Linked DNA regions of Schizosaccharomyces pombe. The gene in region 1 interacts genetically with each later gene. Each region holds a gene or a part of one and is shown on either strand. Other genes may lie near its edges.

The links.
Region 2: mutations in bag102 (region 1) and cdt2 together harm fitness less than expected from each alone (positive genetic interaction), as found in Schizosaccharomyces pombe (2 studies listed by BioGRID).

What each region holds. Positions count from the first base shown.
Region 1 is NC_003423.3:782,220-794,083, forward strand, and holds bag102 (BAG family molecular chaperone regulator Bag102), read right to left. Parts: upstream 9,865-11,864; 5' UTR 9,661-9,864; coding exon 9,040-9,660; 3' UTR 8,445-9,039; downstream 1-8,444. Other genes in the region: CENP-A chaperone, NASP family, Sim3, read right to left, coding at 1-43; GTPase-activating protein Gyp1, read left to right, coding at 2,894-4,438; SPOM_SPBC530.02 (transporter), read left to right, coding at 5,459-7,084; protein ksh1, read right to left, coding at 7,621-7,677, 7,747-7,798, 7,871-7,980, 8,019-8,021; Tea1-anchoring protein Mod5, read left to right, coding at 11,042-11,101, 11,330-11,864. UniProt on the Schizosaccharomyces pombe protein: Inhibits the chaperone activity of HSP70/HSC70 by promoting substrate release.
Region 2 is NC_003424.3:2,033,515-2,041,907, reverse strand, and holds cdt2 (WD repeat protein Cdt2), read left to right. Parts: upstream 1-6,203; 5' UTR 6,204-6,257; coding exon 6,258-7,730; 3' UTR 7,731-7,952; downstream 7,953-8,393. Other genes in the region: U3 snoRNP-associated protein Snu13, read left to right, coding at 445-462, 613-972; SPOM_SPAC607.02C (uncharacterized protein), read left to right, coding at 1,504-1,559, 1,608-1,976, 2,023-2,293; mitotic cohesin complex non-SMC subunit Psc3, read right to left, coding at 2,388-2,792, 2,841-4,440, 4,491-4,900, 4,949-5,044, 5,083-5,195, 5,241-5,505; SPOM_SPAC17H9.18C (uncharacterized protein), read left to right, coding at 7,953-8,270. UniProt on the Schizosaccharomyces pombe protein: Substrate-specific adapter of a DCX (DDB1-CUL4-X-box) E3 ubiquitin-protein ligase complex required for DNA replication during mitosis and meiosis.

The sequences.
Region 1 (11,864 bases):
TATTGCCTTTGCTATTTTCCAGTGTTTTCGTATCAGAAGACATTTTTCGCGTAACTTTTAAAAATTATGAAGTTCAAGACTTCAAGTAATAGGTACGACAATTAGATATTACGCTAGGTCTACCAAAGTGACCCAACAGACTGAATAGTGAAAAAGAAAAAACGACTCGATAATTCACTTTTTTAGATTAGAAATATTAATAAAAATATATTCTGGCTTTTTCTCCTAATAGATAATGAGTTAAAACCACTCTGTTTTGTTCTTAATAAGTAGAGGTGAGCCTTTGCAGATGTATGAATCTATTAGCATTGGCAAGTAATGGGAGTAAGATGAAGCGTATATAGGCGAGCGTTTGATGGCATAACAAGAGCAACAAATTGAACTTATTTGTTTTCCTTTGTTAATAACTCTATTTTAACGATGTATAGGATTCGTTCTGACAGCTTCATTTTTATTCCAGCAAAGCGAAGCAAAACGGATCATTCGCTTCGTGCCAAAACAATGTTGTTTTATGGATTAAAAGATGATCTTCTTAAAGCAGCCATGGCTAAGCATTCATAATACGTGATAGATCATGTTATAGACTTCATCTTTGTAGATCATATAAATGCTTAAGTGTTGAGTCAATGACACATAGACTGTACTTGTCTATTTAATTTGTCTAACGTATTACATTCATAAAAAGCGCGTAAACGTGTTGAGTCTTATAGAAGTTGTTATGACTAGCAATTCAAGAACAAGTCTGATTCATAACATTATTTAACATTTCTTTATTCCATTTCATTTTATTCTTTCTCTATGTTAAAATTCTTGACTTTGCAATATAAACAGACAAATATGCACCAAGTAGCTTGTACAAATAGCTCCTAAACGATCTTTGAATGCATGAAGATAATATTCTATATACCAAGGATTTGAATACTTCACGATCTTACTGTATGAATATATAAACAATAAATAGAAAATTTCTAGTGAATCGACAGTACTCTGACTGATTATTAATTTTTTCTTTAAAATGTTTAAATATTCTACTTTAAACGTCTACGGCCATACCTAGGCGAAAACACCAGTTCCCGTCCGATCACTGCAGTTAAGCGTCTGAGGGCCTCGTTAGTACTATGGTTGGAGACAACATGGGAATCCGGGGTGCTGTAGGCTTCCTTTTATTCTTTTTGCTTTTTGTTTGAGCTCATTTGGGAATAATAATCATTTACCTTGATTCGTACTTATTCATTTCAATACCTTTGCACATAATATTATTGTGTACTATGAATGATATTTTGGCAACCAGGAAATCTTCTTACAAGTCGTAATACGACTTAAAGGGAAGATGTATGGTTTATTTTATTGTCATACAGTAACCTTTATTATTGGATTGGAGTTGTAGTTTCGATTTCATCACAATGAATAACGATACTCTAGAGTGTTTTCCAAGATGTAAACGAGAGAAGGAAAGTGTTTTTTGGATGATTATTAAACTTACTATAATTTTTGATTGTTCTCAATATAAAATTTATCTTAGTACATATTTATTTTGTTCTCATGTCAGTTTTGGAGAACATACATTACAATTTCTTGACAAGACAACATTTGGAAAATTGCTCTGTTCATTAAAACATTGAAAACCGTATATGTTTTTTAAATCATTCCTCTTCAATGCATTTGTTGAAGTAATTTTACTGAATCAAAGATATAAATACATGTTTGAAAACAAATACCCGAAACTGCTAAAAAAAAGACTGGGATTGAAAGTTAGACTAGATTCGTTGATCATCTACTTGAAAAATGTGTTTTGTTAGAAATATATAGGAACAGGAAAATCTTAGACTGTATTTCAGGAAAATTTAAACTTAGTAGGTATTAAAATGCTTATAATTCATCGTATTATATTAGGTAACTAGGATGTCAATACGAAAAATAACAATAAAATCAGAGATTCATTATTGACAGGAAATACTTTTTTACGTTTCTTAATCAACGTTTATACTTTTCTCTTTTTTGTTTTGAAAAGCGACTAGTCACAATTGTCAAAATTACATTGTTCACTTTTACTGGCAGCAACTTAAGTAAAGAAGAGATAGAACTCATAGATATAAACATTGTTAAATGAGACCTAGCTGTGTATCTTTTACTACTCTGCGCATATAAACCCAACATTCCCAAGCAATAAGACCATGCACGGCCAAAATCCTTCTATCAACTGTTCATGGCTTAAAACGAATTTCCTTTAACTAAAAAGTGAGATAAATAATTAAAGTATTAAACCTTGCTCCTTTTATTAAAAAAACCTCATATATAAGAAACTCCATACACCTACTGTTTTCCTCCCTATTGTTTTGTTCTTCCACCAAATAAGGGCAACTGCCTTGGCAACTGCACAGACCGAGTAAATCTTCACAATTTCGTTGATATTCGGTTAAAATTTGTAAATATACTAGTGTATTGGATTGTATCTAAGGTTTTCTCGAAACATTTGTTCGTGTTCAAATTCCGCGCTGTTCTAATAGATCACAAGATCTCGAGCTGGTGCGTTTTCGTTTGGATGGAACCCACAGACACGGCTTTGCTTCTAATAGCTTAAGTTTTTTTTTTTTGAAAATAGTTTTCATTTGATAAGAAAAGAATAAGACTTCAAGTCCGGTAAGTCTATGAGTGGTGCCTAAGATCCTTCGTCGTTAAACATTTGAAGTTATTGCCTTCTAAAACGTTTCATCTACTTTTTACAGCAAATTTTGAAACTGTTTTTTGCATCTTAACCAAAAGTATTTTATTTTGGCGATAAATTCAAAGAGTATCTGTTATTTGCTAAATTTGTTGTGTCCATCAAGGCTATCAAATTACTGCTTCATTTTGTAAAAACAATTTTTCTTCTCGTATTTTAAGATTTTCCACTATGGAATCTCAGTCAAAAAAGTCGTCCGCCTTAAAAACTCTCTCCAGCTTATGGAATGGATCCTCTAGCGCCACTTCGGATCCAGTTACTGTTTTGGATCGAAGCCGGACCCATCACCATCGTGGTCGAAGCACTTCTTCCAAAGCTCAACCGTTCAGATTGGACGACTCTGTTTACTCAGATCAACCCCCAAAAGATCATATCTCTTTGGCCCGGTCCATAACTAGACCCGAATCTGCTAGTGAGTCTAAAATCTATGCACCTTCTGCGAGATCTTCTCTTTCCTTGGAAGCTGTTGTAGGCAAAAAAGTGTCTGCAAAGTTTGCCAAATATTTGTCACAGACAGATGACGATTGGGGAGTTTCGAATATTAAAGCCTCAAAATCTCTTCCTCGTATGGCTCGAAGTACTACTCCAAATTCTTCAAGCCGCTCCTTATTTCCTCAAAATGGCGTGGATACTACCACTTCTAGACAAAAGCTTCATTCGTCTGGTCGTTTTCCTTTACCCGCTAAACTAGCCCATCGTTCTGTAGAAGTTGAGGTTGCTGAAAGCAATGCGCTTGTCTCTCGGATCAAGAAGTTTTCGCGAATTCTTGATGCTCCAATTGTGGATTTAAATGCGCTTCGTACATTGGCTTGGAATGGAATTCCCTCCGAACATAGACCTATTGTCTGGAAATACTTGTTAGGATATTTACCTTGTAATGCTTCTCGTCGTGAAGTCACTTTAAAGCGAAAGAGAGACGAATATAACGCAGCAAAAGATTCCTGCTTTAATACAAATACAGAGCCACCACCTTTGGATCAAACTATTTGGCGACAAATTGTCCTTGACGTTCCGAGGACGAACCCCTCTATTCTTCTTTACCAAAACCCATTGACGCAGCGTATGCTTGAGCGTATTTTATATGTTTGGGCCTCACGGCACCCAGCCAGCGGATATGTACAAGGCATCAGCGATTTAGTTACTCCTTTTATTCAGGTGTTTTTGTCCGAATATATCGGCGATAAGGACCCAATGACATATGACATTGCTCTTCTTGATGAAACTAATCGTAATGATATTGAGGCTGATGCTTACTGGTGTCTTTCTAAATTGTTAGATGGTATCCAAGATAACTATATACATGCACAGCCTGGAATCCGTCGACAGGTGAATAATCTGCGAGAGCTTACTTTACGTATAGATGAGCCATTAGTAAAACATCTTCAAATGGAGGGTGTTGATTTCCTTCAGTTTAGTTTTCGCTGGATGAACTGTCTTTTAATGCGCGAGCTTAGTATTTCGAATATCATTCGGATGTGGGATACATACATGGCGGAAGGTGTCCAAGGATTTTCTGAGTTTCACCTCTACGTATGTGCTGCATTTTTAGTGAAATGGTCGAGTGAATTACAAAAGATGGAATTTCAGGATATATTAATTTTTCTGCAGTCTATTCCGACAAAAGATTGGAGCACAAAGGATATCGAAATTTTACTATCTGAAGCTTTCCTATGGAAATCATTGTACAGTGGAGCTGGTGCACATTTGAAAAGGTAAGGCATAGTAGCCATTTCGTTTTCCCTTTTCAGAGCATTCGTCTTCTTCCTTAATCCCTTGCTTATTTTGGCATAGCAGCCTTTTTCAAATGCCATCCTTCCTATGCATTTTTATAATTAGGTTGACAAATCTCCTTCGTTAATTCATTGTGTTGCTTTTCTATGTTTATGAGCTTATGAGTCTAAGTCTTACTTCTTCTAATAAATTTTCCTTTCATTCACCTAAATAACTTTTCAAGTTTGCTCCTTAACTCAGCTGGATTGAGTTTGCGACTTTTAGAATTTATCATGCAGGATAAAGTATTTCTCTTGAAGAAAGTCTGAACTACCTTAATCATTTTTGGGAAGTTATTAACCCTTGAATTAAATTGTATATTCACTATTACTTATATGTAATTTGTCTTTACTCTTACGTTCGACCGTTCTCTAACCCTTTTCCAGTTTGACTTACGTTACTACTTTACTATTCAACGATTGTTTAGTCCATGGCGTGATACTTTACATGAATCGTTATTAATATCATTTTTTTTTCTCTTCTATGCTAGTCATGTTTTCTTTGGTTTTATCCAAGATTGTACATTACGATTTCAAAGTACGACTTTTGTATTGGTAAGAGATGATGAAAATCGACAAGACTGTACTACATGGTCTGTGTCTTCTTCCTTGATTCGACCAAAATGTATGGATGAATTAGAGTAGATAATGAAAACGCTGTGACAATTTTTGAATATTTATACAACTTAATACAGTTTTTGAACTGAAATAAAGAAGCACGTTCCATTGCGTTATAGAATCATTGTATTACTTTTCATGAAGAAGAAATCATTTATTTATAACTATAGGATCAATTTCTTATCTTTTAAATTTCAATACTCATAGCTTTTTCATGCTGATTTTGCAACTGCTTACCACAACAGCATTTGCAGTGACTGTTTTTCAAACTATATTTACTATATAAGGGAGACTTTGCCTATTACCTCTACGTCTGGCTTAGGAGCGCAAATTAAGCGATAAGAAAGAAATGGATCTGTATCTTTTAGCAAGCGGCAGAAAGTTTGGGGTTGTAAAGTCTGACTGTATATCCAATAACGGAGTAAATGTGAAGGATGTTGGAAATGCATTGAATGAAGGTGTTGTTGGTGCTATTGACGCTACCCGTAAAATGGTGGTTTCATTAGGAACAGTAATGCCTGAAATTCAAAAATGCGGTGTTACTTTTGAAGAGAGCTCCGAGGATGTAAGTGATTTTTATTTAGTAAGATGGGATAGCATTGATGATCCCTTAAATCCCAAAAATTGGCCAATGTGGAAGAAATGGATTGTTGTAGTTCAAATATCCTTAATAGCATTTGTGGTAACTTTTGGATCGAGCGTATACTCTTCAGGTATCGGTAATGTTTCAATGGACTTTGGGGTATCGATTTCTGTTTCTTCTTTAGGCTCTTGTGTCTTCTTGGTTGGCTTCGGGTTTGGATCGTTACCATTTGCTCCTCTCAGTGGTATCTATGGAAGATTTGTTGTTTATTTTTGTACGTTGTTGATGTTTACCCTATTTCAAATTGGTGGAGGTTGCGCACAAAATATATGGACATTGGTTATTTTACGTTTTTTTCAAGGATTTTTCGGTAGTACGCCTTTATCAAATTGCGGTGGTACTCTAAGTGATTTATTTACTCCCATACAAAGAACGTATGTACTTCCTGGCTTTTGCACCTTCCCTTTTCTTGGCCCCATTTTTGGACCCATCATTGGTGATTTTATTTGTCAGAGCTACTTGGGTTGGTGTTGGGTGTTTTGGATAAATATGATCATGGGAGCCGTGGTAATTGTCATTATTTTTTTCTTCATGCCGGAAACTCATGGGGATACCATTTTAGACTATAAAGCTCGGTATCTGCGTAATAAGACCAGAAATATGAAATGGCATACCATTCACGAAAGACAGCGGAATCCAAGGAGTGCAATATATCAAGCTTGTACTGATTCTGTCTCTTTATTGATTACCGAACCTATTGTAGTCTGCTTTACACTTTATCTGACTGTCGTGTACATCATTGGTTATATTGACTTTGAAGGCTACCCTATAGTATTTGCCAAGTACTCTTTCGATCAGGGAGAAATTGGTTTATCGTTTATTGGAATTGGAATAGGTATTGTTTTAGCAGGTGCCTGCACGCCCATCATCTACGTACACTACAATCGAGTTTATACAAGAAGGAATGGGGTTATGTCTCCAGAAGACCGTCTATACCCTCTTTTCTTTGGATCCATAATGCTACCGATTTCCATGTTTTGGTTTGCATGGACCTGTTACCCATACCATCCTTACGTGCATTGGATAGTTCCATTGATATCAAGTATCTTCTTTGGCTGGTCGCTTTTGTTTGTATTTTTTGTTTCCTATAATTACATAATTGATTCCTATCAAAAACTGGCTGCAAGTGCTTTAGCTGCTGCTACGCTTGTCCGTTATGCAGCTAGTGGAGGAATGAGTCTAGTAGGCAGGCCCATGTATGTGAATTTAGGAGACCATTGGGCAACTAGTTTACTTGGTTTTATTTCAGTAGGAATGATTCCTATACCGTTTTTATTTTTTATATATGGAAAAAAAATTCGTGGTTTGAGTAAACACGCATACAAGTTGTGAGTACTACTATTCACAACCATTAGTACAATAGATTTCGCAGCTTTAGGATAATTGTGCCTTGGTTTGCTTGATACATTTTAAGCAATTGAATTAAGTAATTAAATAAACGATACCCAAATCGGTCAGAAGTCAATATGAACAAGCCATAACAGGGTGTTATTCTAGTTTTTATAGTAAATGAGAGTTATACTGATAGATAGATCGAAATCAAAAATCAACCAATCCATCTTGTTTATATGTTATTCTTTACAGTTAACATCTTTTATTAACACAATAGACACAGGCGTATAAAGATATGAAAATGGATGTGAGTAAAAAGGTAATATAAGGATGAAAGAATGAAATGGGCGTAGAATTGATATAATAATTTTCGTGCGGGATGGATTTGTGCAACATAAACGACAAAAAGGTCGAATTATTCTTGATTACCAGCTATTTAGAAATGAAAAGTGTAAGCAAAAGAAATAAAACTGTTTGTAAAGTATTTTCTTCTCTTCACTGTCATAAGCTAGCCAGAAAGCTAAAATTTTAATAACTTATGAGGAACCGAAAATAAATCGTAAAGCCATAAAAACACAAAATAGTGATATATACTAAAGATAGATGTTAGATCTAGCCTTTTTTAAAAAGGATAATTAGCTAGTGAAATAGCTAAAACTCACCGGACTAGCTCGCTCACCAATTCGAGCGCATTTCCAGAATACCATTGTCACGCTGTCAACTTATTAGCAATTCCATATCCCTCAAAACTAAAATATTATATATCTAATAATCATTTAGGCTTACCCTTCTTTTCTTTTTTCTAATAAAGCAGGGAATTGACGGTGTAAATAAGTACATGTGCAGATCGTTAATAGTATAACGAAAAGCAAACTTTCAAAGTTAAAAATGGCAGTCTAACGGTTAATGTTTGTCTTAAAACAAAAATAGTTACCATTTTATTATACTCTGATTAAAATTTTCAGCTTTTAAAAAGCATGTAATTTCTGTGTTCATATATGAAACATACAATGAACTTGAAGTATGCTCACTTGTTCACATTACGACACACAAGACGTTGTAAATATTTATTACGAATTACAACGCATATTATTCGTGTTCTGATACACCGATAAATACCGATATATAATATTAAAAATATATTGAATGTTGGTGGACAAATGCTAATATATGTATGACTTTTCAGGAGGGCTGTATAAAGTATTTGAGGAAATTAAACTATTTATAAATGGGAAAGGGGAAAACATGTTACATAAATATTGAGTAACGTTTAATAAGTCTACATAATACATTGACGATGCAGTCAAGTCAAATAATAATGATAAAATACTTTTAACCTTAGTTTTAAATAGACATGGTTCTTAAATTTCAAAATAACCAGCTGTTCTAAATTTCACTCTTCGATATTAATGGTATAAAACATTGGAACGTTGAGTTTTTGTTAAGTGATTACGAAGGAAGTAAAGGATGTGGAGTTGATATGCTAGAATTGGTATACAGTTTTGAAATCCATTTATCATAAGAAAAAGTATTTTGAATTTGTAACACTATGACTATCCAACCTTCCGGAAGAAACAAAAAGCAATGACGAATGTTTACAAAAATTAATGATACGGCTGCAGTTGAGCAAATGTAAGAAAAAACAGTTGTAACGACAAAAATAGAAAATATGGCATTATGAATGCTTAAAGATTATGTATAAATTGAGAGTAGAACAGTTTAATAGTTGAGGAGCAAGCGGTATCAAAAAAAGAAAAACAAAAATTCAAGCCAGCATAAAAACTTAAAATTGGGTGCTACAAGTTGTTTGCAGAACCTTGGTATAGAAGTTGTTAGAAACGGAAAAATATTGTAGGAGTTGTTTAGTCAATCAGTTTTTACATATCCAAAAAACCATAGCCGACGGAACCATCGTCTCCCAAGCAACTAAGAATTGTTAAATTATAACACATTTTTCATTTGTTTTGATTCTTGGTGGAATCTAGTTTACTCAAATATTGTTGAGATAAACGAATAGCTTCTTTTCTTTTAAGACGAGCTTCTGGGTCGTCTTCAACATTAACAGCATCTAATTTTATCATCCTAGCCAACAATGTTTCACTAAGGCGTGTATGCAAATCTTGAACATCTTGTGCCGAAGCGGGAGACGATTGGCAGAAGGCTTCAATTTTAGGGACGAGATCCTGTTGAAGCTCATCTATATATGCTTCAATTTGTTGCATTGCCGGGCTCAGTTTGGGTAATTCGAGCTCTAATTCACTTCCATTTTGCACATTTTGGTCGGAAAGTGAACCATCCTTGAGGGTCACCCCGTTTAACTTGAGAGACGCTTTGTCGGGCATTACTGAAAATGCGTTGCACACGCGACGAAGAAAACTAGTGTAAGAAACCATATTCAGCCTTGGTTGTCGCAACACAAAATTCAACTTTTCGCCATCGTAATGAACAACGACAATATCTTCGGTTTCAGTAGCTCTCTTTTTCAATAATGCGCTAATCAAAACAGTAACTGACAATACAGCTAGAGAGATCCAATATTTTTTATCCATAGAACACAACTGGGTAAAAAAAGACATGTTGATTTCTCGATGCTTTTTCCTAAAGTCAAATGAATGAAGAAGTGATAAACCGGTCAATAAGCAAGACTAAATAAGTCTGGGTCTTTATCAGATTTCCTTGGTAAATGAAGGAACTGGTATATAAAAATTTAATTGCTAGATAAGAGAGAGGATGTTTTAAATTGGTGAGTTGCTCTCGAACCAATTTCGCATTTGGTGGTTACTATGTAGGTTGTGGAGATGATAGTGTTATGAATTCTTTGAAATGTGAGTTTCTCCTATACAAACATGATAAGTCCGAAAAATGATAATTAAAAAAAAAAAAAGCTGTTTGTTGCCAAAATCTTATTCTTTTTGTTTTTGTTAAAACTTCTGCTGCAGTAGACTGACATGTTGACCTCAAATATCTAGTTATCATTTACGTTCATGCATCAAATTAAACTAATTCAGTTTCGTAAAGATCTTGTTTTTTCTCTTTTTAAGTTTAATTTTTGTTTCTTTGACAAGGAAGGTACCGAAAAAAGCAATCCATGGGATGTGTTTGATAATTGAACAAAGTGTGAATCTGACTTTAACCAGAAGTAGTAATGCTCTAATTTTTTTTAAGAGAATAAGTAATACTCTAAGGATCTTTGATTGCTTTCGGCGTAAATAATTGTTTATTTGTATGTATAACTTTATTCTGAAAAGCAAAGAAGAAGTTTCATATAAATTCATATCAGCAAAAGCGCATTCTCGGTTGATTTTATCGTTTAATGGTTGAATTCTTGGGTATTTTATACCTCAACTATTTTTTCAAAATACTCTTCAATAATTTAGTGGGTTCTCCCATTTGATCGATTCAATTGTTGGGGACTCAAATTGCATAAAAATTGAAGAACAGGATATCATGCTGTAAACAATTCTCCATTTCAACTTTCATTATTGTTACTCGTCTGCAATACCTGGATATATCAACACTTACTCCATCACTGATGTGCTTACCTATCTAAGAGTGCATGTTCTTGGGGACGTCAAAAGTTATGTTTCCATCTTACATGGATAAAGGAATCAGCTCTATTTGCTCTCAAGGGTAATTTCTATTAAATATCCATCTATTTCCTACACCTGCCTGAGAACTTGCTCGAATTATTTTTAAAAGAATATTTTAGCTATAAAAATTTTCTTGTGACCTTTTAATATTATGTTTTTCACCAATTGTTCCATGAACATTACTAAAAAGAGGGAAATATTCTTTTACAAAATATTTAACACGATACCAGCTCAACTGAGGAAATTAGCGTCGCGATCCGCGTACTACTAATTGTTAGCCAAACACCGGTTTCCCAATTCCCAGTTTTGGATATTCTTTTTACTCTCTTTTTTGGCTCTAATTGATCTTTTTCTTTTATTTGATTGCATGTCGGCTTTATCTGAAAGCCCTGCTATTCCTTCTTTTTGGAGACCTGAGACATCCGAGGTATGCTAATTTTTTAAGAAGATCAGAGGTAGTTTCTCTTATTCTTTATGTAAGACATGAAAGTTGCACCTGTACGCAAATTGCAGCTGTTCAATTTGTTGAATGGAGCCTTTCTTTCCGAGTACTACCCTATCTTGCCTGTTTGAAATAATGATTTGCTAACAAGTGTTGCTTGGGCTGCCCCCTTTTCACTAGTTAAGGGTTCAGCTTGCTGGCATTAATGATTAGATATCAAAAAAACCTCGACCAAACACTACCGTCGGATTTCAATTCGATAATAGAAATGTAGGTACAAGTGCTCCTTCTACTCCTGCTATCCGGAGAAATAATACCGATAGTTTTGAACGAGGTCTTTCTTTACCATTGCCAAGCAGCAAGCAAGATACTGGTTCAAGTGTACTAGATCCAGACGGAGATGCATACGTAAATCGATATGCTCGTCCTGTTACAGCAGGTAGTATTTATATTCCAAGTAATTACCACAAGTCTTTTTCTCCCAATACGTTTTCTGGGTTTAATGTAAAGAGAAGCGCGTCTAAATCTCCAAAAAGAAGTGCCAATGGTTCAACGTCAGAGGATATTAGCATTGAAGGATCTCCCTCTGAAACAGCCAAGGGAGCTAGATCATCTTTTAATAGTAATTTTCGAACCTTTGACATTGGAAGTGAGCGCCGAAGGAGAATATTGGAAGCATCACAGGACTCATCTCGTCCGGGAAGATACTCTTATAGGACAAAAAGCGCATCTCCAGCATTAATTGATA
Region 2 (8,393 bases), on another chromosome or scaffold:
TAGTAGATTATTAGCAACTTCTTTTTTGCTAAGTCCATAGACTATATAACAATACAGCTCTCAATCAGATATGCAGTTCCAACTTTTTTTAATGTTATTATATTCTGTTAAATATGGTAAACAATGTCCAATTGAAGAATGCCTGCTCAATAGAAATAAACTCACCAATCTGATTTATAGTTTTGAGTCCTCCATATTCATAGTGTAATGCCAAGAAACAATTAAGATTATTAATGTGCATAAATTTCTTAGAATTCCAAATTTAAGCAAATTTGGATTAATTTTCCAAGTTACATTGATCGAAGGATCGACTAACGTTGATGTTGTTACTTGTACTTTTGGACTACAGCTAAAGTGAAGTTTACTAAAGAAAATTTCTTAGCAAGGGCGAGCAACCACCATTGTAGGTCAGATACTACTTTTTACAGCAAGGAACCCGAAAAAATGTCAGTTAACCCAAAGGTATGTTAATAATGGTATAAGACTTCTTCTTTGGCTACGAAATAGCTGAAAGCATGCTAGTTTCAAATGCTAGTTTCGTCGGCAATTTTATTACGGAAAATGAACTTTTCCGAAATTTATATTCGTTTTATTGCATACTAACATTGTTAGGCCTTTCCTTTAGCCGATTCTGGCTTAACCCAACAAATTCTCGACTTGGTACAACAGGCCTCTCATTACAAGCAGCTTCGCAAAGGTGCAAATGAGGCTACCAAAACCTTGAACCGTGGTATTAGTGAATTTATAGTAATGGCGGCTGATACCGAGCCCATAGAGATTTTATTGCATCTGCCATTGCTTTGTGAGGACAAGAATGTGCCTTATGTTTTTGTTCCTAGCAAGGCTGCTTTGGGACGTGCTTGTGGTGTAAGTAGACCGGTGATTTCAGCCAGCATTACTACCAATGAGGCTAGTGATTTACTTCCTCAAATTCAAGCTATTAAATTGGCAATAGAGAAATTGCTCATCTAAACTTTTGGATTTTGGGAACAGTTTTCTTTTAATCGAGAATAAAATTTGATTCTTATGGAAGCAGATTGTTATCGAATTTTTTATTTTGTTATTGTAATTTTGTACTGTTTCGCTTTCTATATAATTTCAAGTACTCTGTTTGTAGTCATTTTAATTTTTATTAATTAGCTCGCAAAATACTCAACAAGAAAGATAGTTGAGTGTTTACATATAAGAGCATTACGATTTTAATAAAGATAGTGTATATTTGGTGTTTGATATATATATTTTTTAATATATTTTTCGTGTATGATTCGAAAAGTATCTTCACTAAGCTTGCTTCCAACTTGATTCTGAAATTTTTTCTCTCTAAAGCGTTACAGCTTGTCCACTAAAATAAAAAAAGATATTTGTATTCATTAATAAACTTTACTGTTATCCCATGAGTATCTATTAAAACAAATCCAAATTTATCTAAATTGCGATACGAGCTAGGCTCGCTATTTTCCTTTATTACTTGCTTCTCGTTTGTGTTTACTATCCAAGCGCAATATGCCTACTAAGACTAAGAAAAGGTCCGTTCTTGAGGCTGAACGGAAAAAGATTGGGTAAAAAATTTCTATAGCAAGATGTTTTTACTAACATTTGGTTAATAGACTCGATCATGCTCCCAAGGAGGATGAAAGTGTAGATGACAACTTCCCAAAGCAATTCAAGCGATTGCTACAGCAAAAAGAGTACCATGAATCTAAAAAGAAGGAAATAAAGAAAGGCAACCTTAAAAATAAGAAAAAAAAAGATTATGGGAAAATTCAAAGATTACCCGGTGAACGCCTTAGTGAATTTAGTCAGCGCGTAAATAAGGCTATTCCAGTATCTTTTAAGTCTGGGCCGAGCAAAATAGACGAATTTACTGATAAAAAAGAAAAGAAAAAAATAGCGAAAAGAAAAGAGAAGCGTGAAAGAGACTGGAATGAAATTGAGGAAAATTTTGAAGATAAAACATGGGAGGCGGATACTACTGGGTATGTGTATATCACCAATTTCATTTCGTATAAACTAACATATTAGACAATTTATCCAAATTGAGTCTAGAAAAAAACGAAAAAATTCGCCTGATCCGTGGGCTAATTTACAAACAAAACCTTCCTTTGGAGAAACTGTGCAAGCTCCTCCTGAACTTCCGGAATTAAAAATTAAAGAGACAAAGTACTTGGAAAATGTTCCCAAAGTTAATAATATGGGTCAAACAGAATCTATGGCACGACGCCAAGCTCTAGGAAAGCAGCGTTTGGAACTTATAGAGAAATATAGAGAATTAATGAAAACCAAGCGGAAATAATCTTTTTAATAATGAAAAAAGAATTTATTTCTAATGCTGACTTAAAAATAATTAATTACTTTAAATATACAGCAGGCATTAAATCTAAATTTAATTAATTCAAAAACTCATCCACAATAGCAGATAATTTCGGTCCATAGTGCCCTCTTAGTTCACAAAACTGTTGTGAAAATTCTGGTGTTATCGTATTTGACAATGAAACAACTATTAATAATTTACTAGTCAAATCGCAACATACATGTTCCAATAGCCTTCTATTAAGTGGATTTTTGTCCAAAGAAATTTGTGTATGTGGAGAACTTGCTTGAGTCAAACGCTTGAAGGGGAATTGACCAACTTTGGCATATGTGTATAACCATCCCTCAAGTATTTTTAAAAGAGCATCTAAAAATTGAGGTTTTAAAAAGTTATGCTCCTCAGATACACGATTGTCATCGTTGTAATGTGATGCTTTAACACCTTCTTTCATTATCACTGTTTCCAGAAAAGTTCGGGCTGCCTGGTCAAGTTAGTTTCTTAAATCAAATAATAAGTTGATTTTGTATACCTGAAGTTGCAAAATTTTAGAGCTGTCATTATTCATAATATTAATCAAACAATTAAAAACTTTAGTCTCATCATCCTTCTTTTTTTCCTCATCAGCAGGGTTATCCTTCCTTAGAAAGAACCAAAACAATAGACTCTGTAAAGTATTAATTGCAGAAAACTTCAATGTATCTTCATAGCTATTAGGAACCCGCGAAAGAAGCGAAACAAGCCTTTCATATATTATGTCAAACTCAGGATAGTCAGAAAAATCTTTGAGAGAGGTACATCCCTCGATTCTTGTTAAACAAGCTTCAAAAATAACAAATTCATCTTTTGTTATTACAGCATCTTGAATATTAAAAGATCCAAAATTCTTTAAAAATTCGGTTACCGTCTGGTCGCAAATGTCAGTAACCAGAAGCTTCAAATCTTCTTTCAAAGCAGGAATAGAGTCCAACCGTAAAAATAATATCGTGCAACCTTGAATAATTTGAAGATCATTATTGGTTAGGAAAAATTTTTTTAAATTATTAATTAGAAGTTCAAAATGTCTGGAAAGTTGAGGGTCTGTCATTTCTGTCAAATCCATTGAGAATAACAAACGAAGAGAATCATGAAGAAGTGTTGGTGAAGCAGAATTTCTCTCAGTTATTGAATTAATGTAAGGAAGAAGATTCAAATAAAGTAAGTCCTTATCTTTATTTTGATCGTTGGTCGTTTCCGCCGCTTGCTTATTATGCACCGTTTTAGGTGTGATAAAATTGTTATTACAGACAGTTTGGATTGAAGCAGAGAGAAGCTGTAAAAGAATAGATTCCTGAAAATCATTTAGCTTGCAGAAAGAAAGTATACTGTCTATCGGATCTTTTAGAGTCGAGGTATAATTATCAAAAAGTACGAAGTTGCTAATATCCTCCCATGACTGATAGATTGAATCAATTTCACATGCATTAAGTAAAGCTTGTGTTATAGGAGTAATGAAATTACCATTTTTTTGGAAGATTCGTAATAATGTATCATAATCAAAGCTCGATTGGTAAGACAATCTAACCTCCTCCAAAAGTTTACACATTTGGGAAAATTTTATCCAATGAACTGAAAATGTAGTAAGTGAAGTCTGAGAAAAGGCCTTTAGAATATAGTCTTCTTCACCCCATAAATCAATTTTTTCATTCACACTTTCGTCAACCACTTTGCATAAAAACAGTACGGCTTCACGTTGCACCCTTGGATTGATATCTAAAATTAGCTTCAGCACTTTTAAAATTTCAGAATTTTCTAAAAATCCGCAAGTCCTCATAGCGTTACACAAACGAATGCTGGCTACACGAACTCCAATATCGGCGTCCACACAACTCATCTCGAGTATTCTTTCTTTAAATCTAGAAGAAAAATGTCTTAATCCACCAATAAATGAATCTGTCTCAAAAAATTTGCGCAAAACTTTAACTACAGTTAATCTGACGGTAGTGTTTATGTCTGAAAGCATCCATCCTAGGTATCTTAAATAACTTCCTGAAAAAAATATGCTTGGAACAGTATTAATCCAGACCCCAAGCTCTTGTAAGCAATCTACCCTTATTTTAGGCTCCACGTCTCGATATCGATGGACGAAGACACTAATATAAAGGTTAGTATAAATAAATTAAAGCGTTTGAGGGATCTTTACCTATCAAAGTAGTCATTTAAGTATGTAGTCAATGTATCTTGTTGCTTGACTATTTCACCAAGACTGTTATTAAGTTCGTTGATGCGATTTCTATTTACACGAGAGCGCTTTTCTTCTTTCTCGAGCTGTTTGGTAGCAATTGCATGCTCGTTCAATAGTTCTTTAGATTTTTCACATAAAAAAGTCATAATATTCAAACAGAAAACAGTGGCGGTGTGCCGAATAGGTCTCATCGTAGAAGAAGACATGGCAACGACCCAAGACATAATATCTTCAAAAACAGTGCTATTGTACAAGTAATTTCTTATTGACAACTGTGACACAAAGTTGCTTAAAAGACCGGTCAATCTCTTTCTGAAATTCCTAAACTTAAGATTTTTTGAATTTAAAGGATAATCACGAGTAGAAGTCTTAAAGTTGTTAATATACAAATAAAGTATTTTCGCAAAAGCACTTACACGCTCTACAGAAAGTTGAATTTGAGATAGAGTAGCTGAAGCAGAATCTTGATCCTGAACATCAAACACATTAATGGCACGATTGCAACCACAGCACTAAAATATTTAGTAAAGAAAGAAAAGAATGACTCTACCTTTAAAATAAAGTTAATAAGATTTGCAAGGGCAGATTGATTATCTTTTGCATAGTCAGCAAACCACGAAACCGCGATGTCCATGGTATCAACTTTTTGGTCAAGCAGAAAAGCTTTTCAGTGTTAGTAGCTGAAAAAAAGAAGGACTTTATCATTACCAAATAAGTTGTTAAAAATTTCTTCTTGAGGATCCTCTTCAACTATAGCGTTCCTCCTAGAGCGTTTTACATTTACTCCTTTAGAATTTGGCCGTGGATGCCGTTTTTTTGAGCTTATCGTTTTCTCGTAATCATCATCGCTATTTTCTTCAGAAGATGAATTTGAACTACTGCTCATGGGATCAAAACTTTGAGAAAGCATTACAGGGGAAGATTCTCTGTCTCCTCCATCATCATCAGATCCAGTAGTAACAGACTCACTCATTTGAAGAAAAAAAGAAATAATTTATAAATAAATTAAGAGGTGTAATTAGAAATATTGGAAAGAGTGTAATGAATGCACTATTGGTGTTGTACAATGGAGGTTGTTCACAACCTGTAGTTGATAAAAGCACGAACTTGTCTTGTTCAATAGTGTTAGACAGGATAAATGTGTTTGAAAATCCAAGGATACGAAAGGAAATTTATACTTAACGAAGTTATTACATTAAAATTTTCTTTACCTTGATTGAAACAAATATATACTATTTTCTTTTGGGTCCTGCAAGGTGAACAGCTAACTTATATTCACTCCGCGAGTTGAGATTGTAATTTGACTATACAAGTATAGAATTGTGAGTGAAAGATTCTTTTGACGCGTAATATTTTCGATTATTATTAATAAATGAGATATTTGACAACTTTTCGAGCGCTCATTATATCATAGGCAGAAATACGAAAGTCATCCTTTATGAAAAATTAACAAGTAATTAGAAAACTTTTATCCTTTTTATTTATTCCTCAAGAATTTTAGGCTGTACCCATCTGTAATTGCAAATATGCTTAAACATGACTTTGAAATACGCGTTTTGTTACTTTAACATATTCTGGGTAACGTTTGGTGCATGTGATGGATCACGGACGCGTCGCGTTCACGCGTCACGAAAATCTAATATACTCACGCTACCATCCACTACTTAAATTAAACTGGAACACACGACCTCAAAAGCGGATTAAATTAAGATTCATGATTATACCATGAATATGGACATTGGAAAAGCTTTGAGTGATGTTGGTGGGCTTCGAGATATTACCTCACGTGCAAATAACTCATTACCTCCGACTCCTGATTCTTCTCCCGCAGCACCTTCCAAAAAACATAAGCTTTACGACTTCCTAGAAAGCCGAGGAAAAATTGAAACACCTCGAAAACGCATTGTGTTTGAAAAGAAACCCCTGTTACACAAGCCAGTTCATATTCAAAAAAAACCTGCTCAACTTTGTAAAGAACTTTTAATCAGACAACTGGGAGGTTCCCGGTCGCACCCTTTTAGCACAAAAACTTCTCGTCATGTGGGAGGTAGACTCAATCTCGAAACATATTACTCACGACCTTCGGAATGCTTAATGATGCTGAACCAACTCCCGTTCTGTCTTGGATTTGCTAATAACGAGTCTTTATTGGCCGTATGTACTGAGACTGGAGCTCTTGAGCTGTTTGATTCTCGATTTTACGATAGACAGAATGAGGAAAATCAGCCGTCTGCTCGAAGAATCCATGGCTGGCTTGCTCACAACAATGCTATATTTAGTGTTAATTTCTCTAAAGATGATTCATTATTAGCTACTTCATCTGGCGATCAAACATCAAAGGTATTTGATTTGTCAACGCAACAATGCATCACTCGATTGGGACGACGAGGTGTCGATGGATACCACTCTCATTCAGTAAAGCAGGTTAATTTTTGCAATGATTCTCCTTATAATTTGGTAAGTTGTTCTCGGGATGGTTCCATTATCTTTTGGGATATGCGAACACACGGGATAACAATTGACGGTGAGCATTTTCAGAAACCAGTGTTAAGGATAAGAAAAGCACATGAAAATTCGGGAAGGGATTGCTCAATTACCTCAGCTACGTGGCTCCCTCAATCTACTTCGCAAGTTATATCGTCCTGCTCTGCAAACTCGGCCTTAAAGTTATGGGATTTACGAACTGTACATACCGTCCGACCTTTACCTGCTGCTACTACTCCCGAATTAACTACTTCAAAACGCGATTTTGGTGTTACTAATGTTTGTACTTCTCCTGACGGTGAGCGTATTTATGCTGCTTCCAGAGATAGTATCATTTATGAATATTCATCTCGTCACTTAAACTCCGGATTTTGCAAGACTTACAAAGACCCTAGACTCAGAATTTCTTCATTCTACGTAAAGTTGGCGTGCAGTCCTGACGGAGCAACTTTAGCCTGCGGTGGAGGCGTTCAAGACAAGACTAGTGGTGTTGTTGTTTTTGACACAACAAGAAACTGTTCATCGTCTGCTATGCTCACAGGTGGTCATACTAAGGATGTTACTGCAGTTGATTGGTCTAGTGAAGGTCAATTGGCAAGTATTTCAGACGATGGGAGCGTTCGCGTATGGAATTCTTCTCTGCATGGAAGTGCGGCTAACCTTAGAGAAAAGAATTTTTCGGAGATTTTTTATTGGGGATTTAGTGAAAAATGAAAATTATCACGCATAGCAATGTCTCAATATTCGGCTTGTTTCTCTTGAAAAGAAGACTATAAGTGAGGCTTCATAATATTTTGTCAAAAATAACGACTATTCCCTAATGCATTTGAATATTATTAGGATTCTTTCTTTTTCCATATCTATTTAATCCTTTGATTTGTCATTTTTTTGCTTCCGCTGGATGCTTTATAAGCTTTTTCTGTTTACCAAAGCTTAATGCATAAAATTAGTTTGCAATTTTTTTTTGTTGACAATTATTTTTTTTTTTGGAAGCAATCAAAATACCAGTCAATATATGCAATCCAAATTAGATGTTTTTTCCTCACCGTTAATCGAACTCCTATTCCTAAACAAACGTTCAGTTTAATAGTTTTTTATATACTAATAATGATTATTCAACACTTAAAAGAAATCCATTATTTAATCAGCGCTAGCGCTAAATTATTACTAGCAAGCAACTATTTACTAGAACTTCTTATTTCTCATAATATACAATTTAGCCCTATACGTTCATTTTTTATAATTATGGTCTAAGGATATTTTACGAAGTTGCAAACAATAATAACTAATTCTATACAAAATAGATGTGGCTAGCTATTTCAGCTTTTATTTTACTCATTTTATACTTATACACTTTATTTGGCAATTTGTTGTAAC